Canis lupus familiaris: one gene and its partner. The protein of the gene in region 2 purifies or fractionates together with the protein of the main gene of each other region. This does not show direct contact. Links are inferred from orthologs where the notes say so. Each region holds a gene or a part of one and is shown on either strand. Other genes may lie near its edges. The genes, in order: SRPK2 and SNRPA.

Evidence for each region.
Region 1: the proteins of SNRPA (region 2) and SRPK2 purify together in Homo sapiens (affinity purification with mass spectrometry; 4 studies listed by BioGRID and IntAct, with this or other methods). This does not show direct contact. The link is inferred for Canis lupus familiaris from reciprocal best matches to the Homo sapiens genes SNRPA and SRPK2.

The regions. Positions count from the first base shown.
Region 1 is NC_049239.1:15,286,951-15,291,195, reverse strand, and holds the start of SRPK2 (SRSF protein kinase 2), read right to left. Parts: upstream 2,884-4,245; 5' UTR 2,879-2,883; coding exon 2,783-2,878; intron 2,496-2,782; exon of another isoform or gene 2,481-2,495; coding exon of another isoform or gene 2,348-2,480; intron 1,995-2,347; exon of another isoform or gene 1,916-1,994; coding exon of another isoform or gene 1,900-1,915; intron 1,811-1,899; coding exon 1,756-1,810; intron 68-1,755; coding exon 8-67; intron 1-7. UniProt on the Homo sapiens protein: Serine/arginine-rich protein-specific kinase which specifically phosphorylates its substrates at serine residues located in regions rich in arginine/serine dipeptides, known as RS domains and is involved in the phosphorylation of SR splicing factors and the regulation of splicing.
Region 2 is NC_049222.1:113,801,573-113,805,146, forward strand, and holds the end of SNRPA (U1 small nuclear ribonucleoprotein A), read right to left. Parts: intron 3,090-3,574; coding exon 2,916-3,089; intron 2,548-2,915; coding exon 2,459-2,547; intron 1,028-2,458; coding exon 868-1,027; 3' UTR 643-867; downstream 1-642. UniProt on the Homo sapiens protein: Component of the spliceosomal U1 snRNP, which is essential for recognition of the pre-mRNA 5' splice-site and the subsequent assembly of the spliceosome. U1 snRNP is the first snRNP to interact with pre-mRNA.

The DNA of each region.
Region 1 (4,245 bases), on a different chromosome or scaffold from region 2:
AACATACCACATAAATCCAAACTGCAGCAGACCAAAAAAGGCTCTTGGCCATTAGGATAGTCATTCCCTGAAACATGAAAATATGAAATACGTGTTGACTTAGTTAACTAAAACTGCTTTTCTACACGCATGCCCACATACAACATACACATTACATACGTGTATACACACACATAGCCATTCCCAAAACCGAGGACGCGCTTTTTTTCCAATTCCCTTTTACATTTCTAAACATAATGCAATATGTGAAAATAAATGCTTTGTATTTAAGGTTGTTTTTAAAACCCAATACTCAGGATCCTAAACGTTACAGTTCTTCCTTACTCGCGGGCTTCATCTTCCGACATTCAAAGGAAATCCCAAATTTAAGGCCCTGACTTGAAAGCTGGCCAAGTCATTTTGTAAAGCATCTCCAACTACCGCGTCCATCCCGTTTTCACCTTTTAAGAATCCAGTATCAGATTTTTTTTTTTTACCCACCAGTTCCTCAATTCCTTCATAAGTATGTTTCCGTCACTCTAATATAATCTTTTTTTTTTTTTTTTTTGTCTTCCAAGAAAAGGCATTAACTATAGCGAGATGCCCATTTTGGAAAACCCTGAAAATGCTTTACAAGCCCTATCCCATCTCGAGTGAACAGAAAAATTGTCATGATAGCAGCACCGCGCTGGTGAGGCCTCAGGGCAGTGTTCAGGGAGGGCAGGAAATTCTGCAGGCAAGAGACCAAGGCGCCGAGGAGGGGGAAGCCCAGGAACGCCGCAGGGCGATCCCCCGAGACCCGGTCCTGAGGATGATCACGGGCCGCCGTTCCCTACAAGACCCCCAATGCCACGGAGTGTGTCTCGCTCCACAGGAAGGGAGAAGCCACGCATCCAGGAGCGAAAGACGCCGAAAGCCAGGGGCGGGGGCGCTGCGCGGTCTCCGAGCGGCTCTCCAGGAAAGGCTCCCCCTCGGGTCCGCGCGGACTGGGGGGCGGGGCGGGGCGGGGCGGGGCGGGGCGGGGGCTGGCACGGCTCCAGCAGGACCCCCTCCCGCCAGCTCCCGGGGCGGCGGGGGCGCAGCGCGGCTCGGCCCGAGCGCAAAGTTTCGACTGGAGACCCGGCGGGCGCCGGCGCGCTCAGGTCTCGGAGCTGGGCTGGCGCCAGGCACCCCCGGGCCGGCCGCTGGACACCCGGCTCCGGCTTTCCGCAAAGAGGCCGGGAGGCGGGGAGCCGGGGGGGAAGAGGAGGCCGGCCCCACGCGCGCGCACACACGCGCGGAGCCCACGGAGCACGCGGAGCCCACGGAGCACGCGGAGGACGCGGAGCCCACGGAGCACGCGGAGCACGCGGAGCGCGCGGAGGACGCGGAGGACGCGGAGCCCACGGCTCCCGGGCGCCGGTGCCCAGGTGCGAGCCGAGCAGCAGCCTCACGCCCGCACGCGGCGCGGCGGGGCGGGGACGCCAGCGACCCCGGCGGGCGGCGCGCAGGGAGGGGCGGCCGCCGGGGGAGCGGGAGCGGGTCCGGGGTCCGAGGGTCCAGGGTGCTCGGCCGGGCACCGCGGGCCCGCACGCGCCCTCCCCCGCCCGCCCGCCCGCCCCTCCCCCCGGGCCGCCCGCCGGGGCGCAGAGGCGAGCGCCCGCGTCCCCGGGGGGTGGGGGGGGGACGAGCCCGCCGACCCCGGGATCCCGCAACTTTCCCCTGCGCGGCCGCGGGCTGCCCTGCCCGGGCGGGGGCGGGGGGGCGGGGGCCCGGGGGCGCGGGGCACGGACTCACTTTTTCGGATGTTTCTCTCTTTTCGGCCTCCGCTTTCGGGCCTGAATGGCCAGCACTGGGGAAAGAGAAGACACCCATTAACGGTCGGGCCGGCGGCCGGAGGGGCCGCGCGGCGGGGAGGAGGGCTCGCCGCGGGCCACTCACCTTTCCGGGAGCTCATCCCGACGCGGCCGAGCGGGGGCGGGGGGCTCGGCGGCGGCGGCGGCGGCGGCGACGCGGGAGCCGAGCCGGGCCGGGCTGCAGCCTCCTCCACTCGCTCCGCCAGCCGGGAGGAGGCGGCCACCGCGCCTGCGCCGCCGCCGCCGCCGCCGCCGCTGCCGCTGCTCCCCGCGGGGGGCCGCCGAGACCCGCCCCGCCGGCCCCGCCCCCCGCCCCGCCCCGCCCCCGCCGGCCCCGCCCCGCCCCCCGCCCCCCGCCCACCTGCCCCGGCCGCGCAGCCTGCGGCCCGGCCTCCGCCCCCCGCGCCCCGGCCCCGGCCCCGGCCCCCGGCCCCGCCCCTCGGCCGCCCGGCCCCCGCCCCCCGCCCCCCGCCCCCCGCGTCCGGGGCCCCCCGCCCCCGCGGCCGCGGCCGCCCGGCCTCCGCCCCACGCACCGCGGCCCGGGCCCCCCGCCTCTCCGCGCTCCCCGCGCGCCCCTCCTCGGCCGGCGCCCCCGCGGGTCTCGCACCACCGCTCTTCGCGCGGCCTCTTCGCCCCCTTTGCTCCCCGACATCCCTGCATCCCCATGAGCGCCGCCCGCTCCCCTCTGGCGGCTGTGGAAAGGGCACAGGGCCGGGAGCGGGGACACCTGGGACCCGCACGAGCGTGTGACCTTGGGGAAGTCCTCTCCTCCTTCCGCCTCACCTAACCCCACTGCGGGCTTGGAGCGTAATGAGGGAAAAGATGCAAACGGCATGGAAAGCGTGATGAAGTCGTTGTTTTGTTTTGTTGGGTTCTTTGCACCTGAATTAAAGCCCAGCTCGCCAAACACCAAGCGTCTGACGATTTAACACAACAATCGCACCAAGCAGTTGTTGCCTACGTCTTACAGCGAGGAGGCGACGACGTCCAAAGTAGTTGAACAGTTTGCGGAGGGACCGTGCAAGTTCAGGCCTAGCTGACTCCAAAGCCTTTCCATGGATCATGCCGCCTGATAAAGATGGGAATCAAGCTGATAGTGGGTCCGAATGACAACTGCACTCTCTTCCTTTGTTTGTTTAAGTAATTACAGTGTCTTGGAAAGATATCCGCCCCACCGCGGACTCTCTCTGGTTCTACGACTGTGTTCTTAGCTGACCAAAGTAACTAGTCTGATCCTAAAGATGCTAAAACCAAAGAACTGAAAGCGCTGCTCAGACTTGATGGAACTTTTACTTTCTCAACATGTTTTTTTTAAGTTTTTATTTTAATCACCCAGAGGGAGTGGACTCTTTAATCCCCGGCACCTACTTCAGCCATCCCCACCCACTTCCCCTCTGGTAACCATCAGTTTGTTCTCTCTAGTTAAGTACTTTCTCAACTTTTTATTTTCAAAAAGATCTACCCTACAGAGAAGTTACGAGAAAAATATAATGAACACCCGTATTAACCCATATGCACCGATTTTTAACATTTCATCACATTTGCTTTCCTTGTGTGTATGTGTGCCTATGGAAGTTCCTTTGTTTCGTTTTTGCTGAATTATTGAAGTTTTTGCATCGTTACTCTTTACCCTTAACATGTCAATAAGTACCAAGAACAAGGATATTCTACGCAATCAGAATTCCATTATCATACCAAGAAAATTTAATATTAATACAGAGGCCATATTCACATTTTCAAAATGTCCCTTGTAGCTGACTTTTTTCCTATCCAGGATACAATCAAGAATCGTCCATTACATTTAATTGCCATGTCTTTTTTACACTCCTTTAGTCTAGAATAATCCCTGGTTGTTGTTGGGTTTTTTTTTTTTTTCTCTCTCTTTTATAACATTGACTTCTTTTGAGGAATCCAATTCACTGTTCTGCAGGATGTTCCTCAGTTTGTAGTCATCTGTTCCCTGTTAAAGTCAAGTTAAATAATTTTGGCAAGTACGCTATATGGATGATATTGTGTCCATCTCAGTATGTTGCAACAGAAAGGAAATGATGTCAGTTTGTTTCATTATTCGTGATGTTACATTTAATCATTTTTCTATAGTAAGGCCAGCTTTTATTCTTTTCTACTTAAAAAAGTGGTCTATGTTCAAAACGAGTAAAGGACTTGAATACACGTTTCTCCAAAGATATACAAATAGCCAACAAGTACATGAAAGATGCTCAATTTCCTTAGACAAATGCAAAGCAAAACCACAATGAGACACCCCTTTGCACCTACTAGGATGACTATGTTTTTTTAATAGAAAATAAAGGTTGCCTTGATCACCCAGTTGGTTAAGCGGTTAAGTGTCAGACTCTTGGTTTTGGCTTAGATCATGAACTCATGGGTTCTGAGATCAAGCCGGATGTCAAGCCCCATGTTGAGTCCCACA
Region 2 (3,574 bases):
AAACAGCTGCGCCACCCAGGGATCCCCATTCTTTCTTTTAAATTTTTTTTTTAATTTTTTTATTTATTTATGATAGTCACAGAGAGAGAGAGAGAGAGAGAGAGAAAGGCAGAGACACAGGCAGAGGGAGGAGATTGCAAACTTCAACTCAAGTGTCTCAAGCCCAGGCTACCACTCCTTCTCTTCTTCCAATGAGTTCCTGAGCACTCAGTTCCCTTTCTTTTCTTCCTGAAGTATCTAGCATGGATTCTGGGGACTGTTGCTAGGATGGAACAATTTTTGTGAAGATTCAAAAAAGACAAAAAACCTCTAACATTCCATTATGTTTGAAAAAAAAACATATGAATCTACAAAGTGAATGGCATGCCCTTAAAGGTGGCATCCTTATTTAGTACAAAACCTGTCCAAGATTACATGGCAGCATGGGTTTTAATTTCCTGCTGAATGCTGACTGAGACAAAACAGAAATTTTTCCAAAAGGATTAAATAAAGATGCCTGAGGCTTAGAGAAAGTTACTACACTATTCTGTGTTTCCCCAAAGTTGCAAAGCCCAACACGCTAACAGGTCCAAATACCCAGAATGTTCCGATATGCAAGAAAACGCAGCATAGAAGACAAAAAATGAAAAATAAAAACGACAATTGGTTGTGAAAAACCAAACCTCAAAAAAACACTTTAATTCCGGCCTAACAGCGCCAGGTGCAATGTCTGGGGACAGACTCTGGGTACAATGCTGTGTGGCGACCACTCACTCACACACGGCTCTGAGAAGGCCCCTGAGGGGGACTTACCTTCAGGGGGCTGAGCCAAGGGGGGAAGGGGTGGCCCCAGAGCAGGGGGCAGGGGCAGGCAGGGGGAAAAAGGTGCTACTTCTTGGCAAAAGAGATCTTCATGGCATTGTTCTGGGTGATCTTGAAGCCCTGCAGTGCATCGCGAGCGGCCCCTGCCTGTACCTCATTGTCAAACTCCACAAAGGCAATGTCGTGCCGCCCGGGGACCAGTCGTACCTCCTTGAAGCCAGGGAACCTGGGGAGAAGGGAAGAGACCTCAGGGATCCAGACTTGGCATCTTCCCCGAATGTTCTGGCATCTGAAGTGTAGAAGCCACCAGGATGCTGCTAAACATCCACTACAATGCATAGTAAGAGAGGATCATCCAGGCCCAAGTGTATACAGTCCTAAGCTGTAGAGCCCGGACACAAACGAGTACACACGATGTAAACATGTCATTTAAGGAAATATTTTAACGTGAACACCTATGCAGCCATAAGTTAGATCAAGGAATAGGACACTGCCCCCATGTCCCTCCCTGATCATACCCACCACCGGGTTCCAGAAATAAACACTACCCTGACTTTTTATGATCTGCTGTTTCTCTCATTTCCGCTCCCTCTTCCCCAACTTCCTTCCCCATTAGGCAACCATCCTCATGTTTGCTGGGTACACTTTCTTCTGCACCTATTCTTACGGAGTCTGTATTGTTTCACAGAAAGATATGCGTATGATACTGTATTTTCCCTCTTACGGAGTTTCTCAAAATTCCCTCCCAGCACTGTTACAGAGAACCATCGGCACTGCACTGTTCCCCAACTGCCACAGAGCAGGCCACAGTGAGCAGCCCTTCTGACCTCTGGCTTCTTCCCCTGGGGCTGCCTCCAACTCCCTACCACCCAGAGGAATCATGTCCATCCACACCCCTTGGGACTTCTGTTAACAATGGCTTTAGGAGGGGTTAAGCTCAGCCAGTTAAGCATCTGCCTTCGCCTCAGGTCATGATCCCAGGGTCCTGGGATCCAGTCCTGCATTAGGCTCCCTGCTCAGTGGGGAGTCTGTTTCTTCCTCTCCCTCACTCTCTGCCATTCCCCCAACTTGTGCTCTCTAGCTTTCTCTGGCTATCAAATAAATAATTAAATAAAATCTTAAAAAAAAAAAAAAAAAAAACTTTTAGAAGACCAGAAGGCAGAGCCACCAGGTGAGCACACAACCCTTCCTTCACTGAACAGTGAATGTGTTACCCTGTGGAATAGCCATAGTGGTGTACACCCCGTCACCAGCACTGGGGTTGCCAACATCCCTAACCTCCTACTGTGCAGTCTGAGTGTGCCGATTCTGACCAGCCTAGCCAGTGCTCGATGCCACTGCACTGTTGTTTTATACACACCTGGCATTTTTCTGATTTAGAGGCTGGAAAGAAGAGGCCCAGGGACCCCTGCACCTCCCACGAAGTCAAGGAAGGTCCAATGCTCCCTTGGCCATGCTATGTCTGAGGCTTGCCACTGCCACACCTCCTCAGGCTGTGAGCCTCAGCCTCCACCCTTTATGCCTCCAAGCCACTGTTCTGCCTGCAAATCCTAAGCAGACTCAAGACTCCACCAGCAGAACTCCAAGGCCTGTCTCCACGGTGCCAACTCCTGGGCCATCACCCTCTGGACCCTGCCCAGCTACTGGCCCCACTTACTGGTTGAAAAGCATGGACAGCATGAGCTCATTGGTCTCCTCAGGCAGGTTGGTGAGGAATAAGATGTGATTTGGTGGATTTTCTGAAAGCTGCAAGGAAGTGACAGAGCCTGTGAGTCTAGTGGGAGAACCTACTGCCTTCCTATTTTCTACCCCTGTCCCTTCGTAAGTTCCTTCTGGCCCCTTCACCTGACACGCCTGATGTTGCCTGTCTACACCACCTTGCACCCACCAGACTAAGAGCCATAGAGAACACTGCTGTTTTCATCAGATGCTGCACAGAAGTTCACTGAATCAAGCTGGGCTCTGGTCACTGCTCCAGCCTCACCCTGACCTTTTGAAGCTCCTCCGACATACATATAATCCCTCTCTGGCTCTAAAACAGCACCCCCACCCATCCCTTTCTATTCCCATGTTCTGACTGTTCATAGGAGACCCCAGGAGCAGTAGGTACTTACAGGCTGGGCTGGTGGCATCTGCCCCGGCATAAGCTGCTGTGGGGGCATAGCCCCTGGTGGGATTTGTCCAGGTGCCAGGCCTGGAGGCGGGATCATGCCAGGAGGCGGCATGTAGGGAGGCTGGCCTGGCATGTGATGCATGATGCGGGGGGCTTGAGTCATTGGGGGCATACCCTGCAGAGAGAGGGAGGACAGGGTTGAGTGGGGCACCCAGCAGACAGGAGGGATCGAGTCTGGTGTCAGCAGACAGAAGAGAGTGTCAGAAGACCCAGGGAGAGATTCAGACTTGCAAGGTGGAAAAAAAGGCACCCATGGAGACAAAGGTCATCCAAAAGAAAATGGATGGAGCAAAACAGACCCAACTCAGGCTCGAGGGAGACATCAAACCAGAAACTTAAAAATTTTTCTAACAAAGAAAAACTAATCAGTGTGGTCCAGCTCTGTTGACATAGAAGAAAGAAAACAACACTGGAAAAAATCGAATGCTAACAACAGTCAACAAAAAGAGCGAAAATAAACACTATAATGAGTATGCTGGAGTTTTACTTCCAAAAATACACTTGGGGGTGGGGGTGGGGGTGGGAAGAGACCTACAGAGAAAAAAGGAGCAGACAGTGGAAGGCAGAGATGGACAGGGACAGTCAGGACAGATGGAGAAA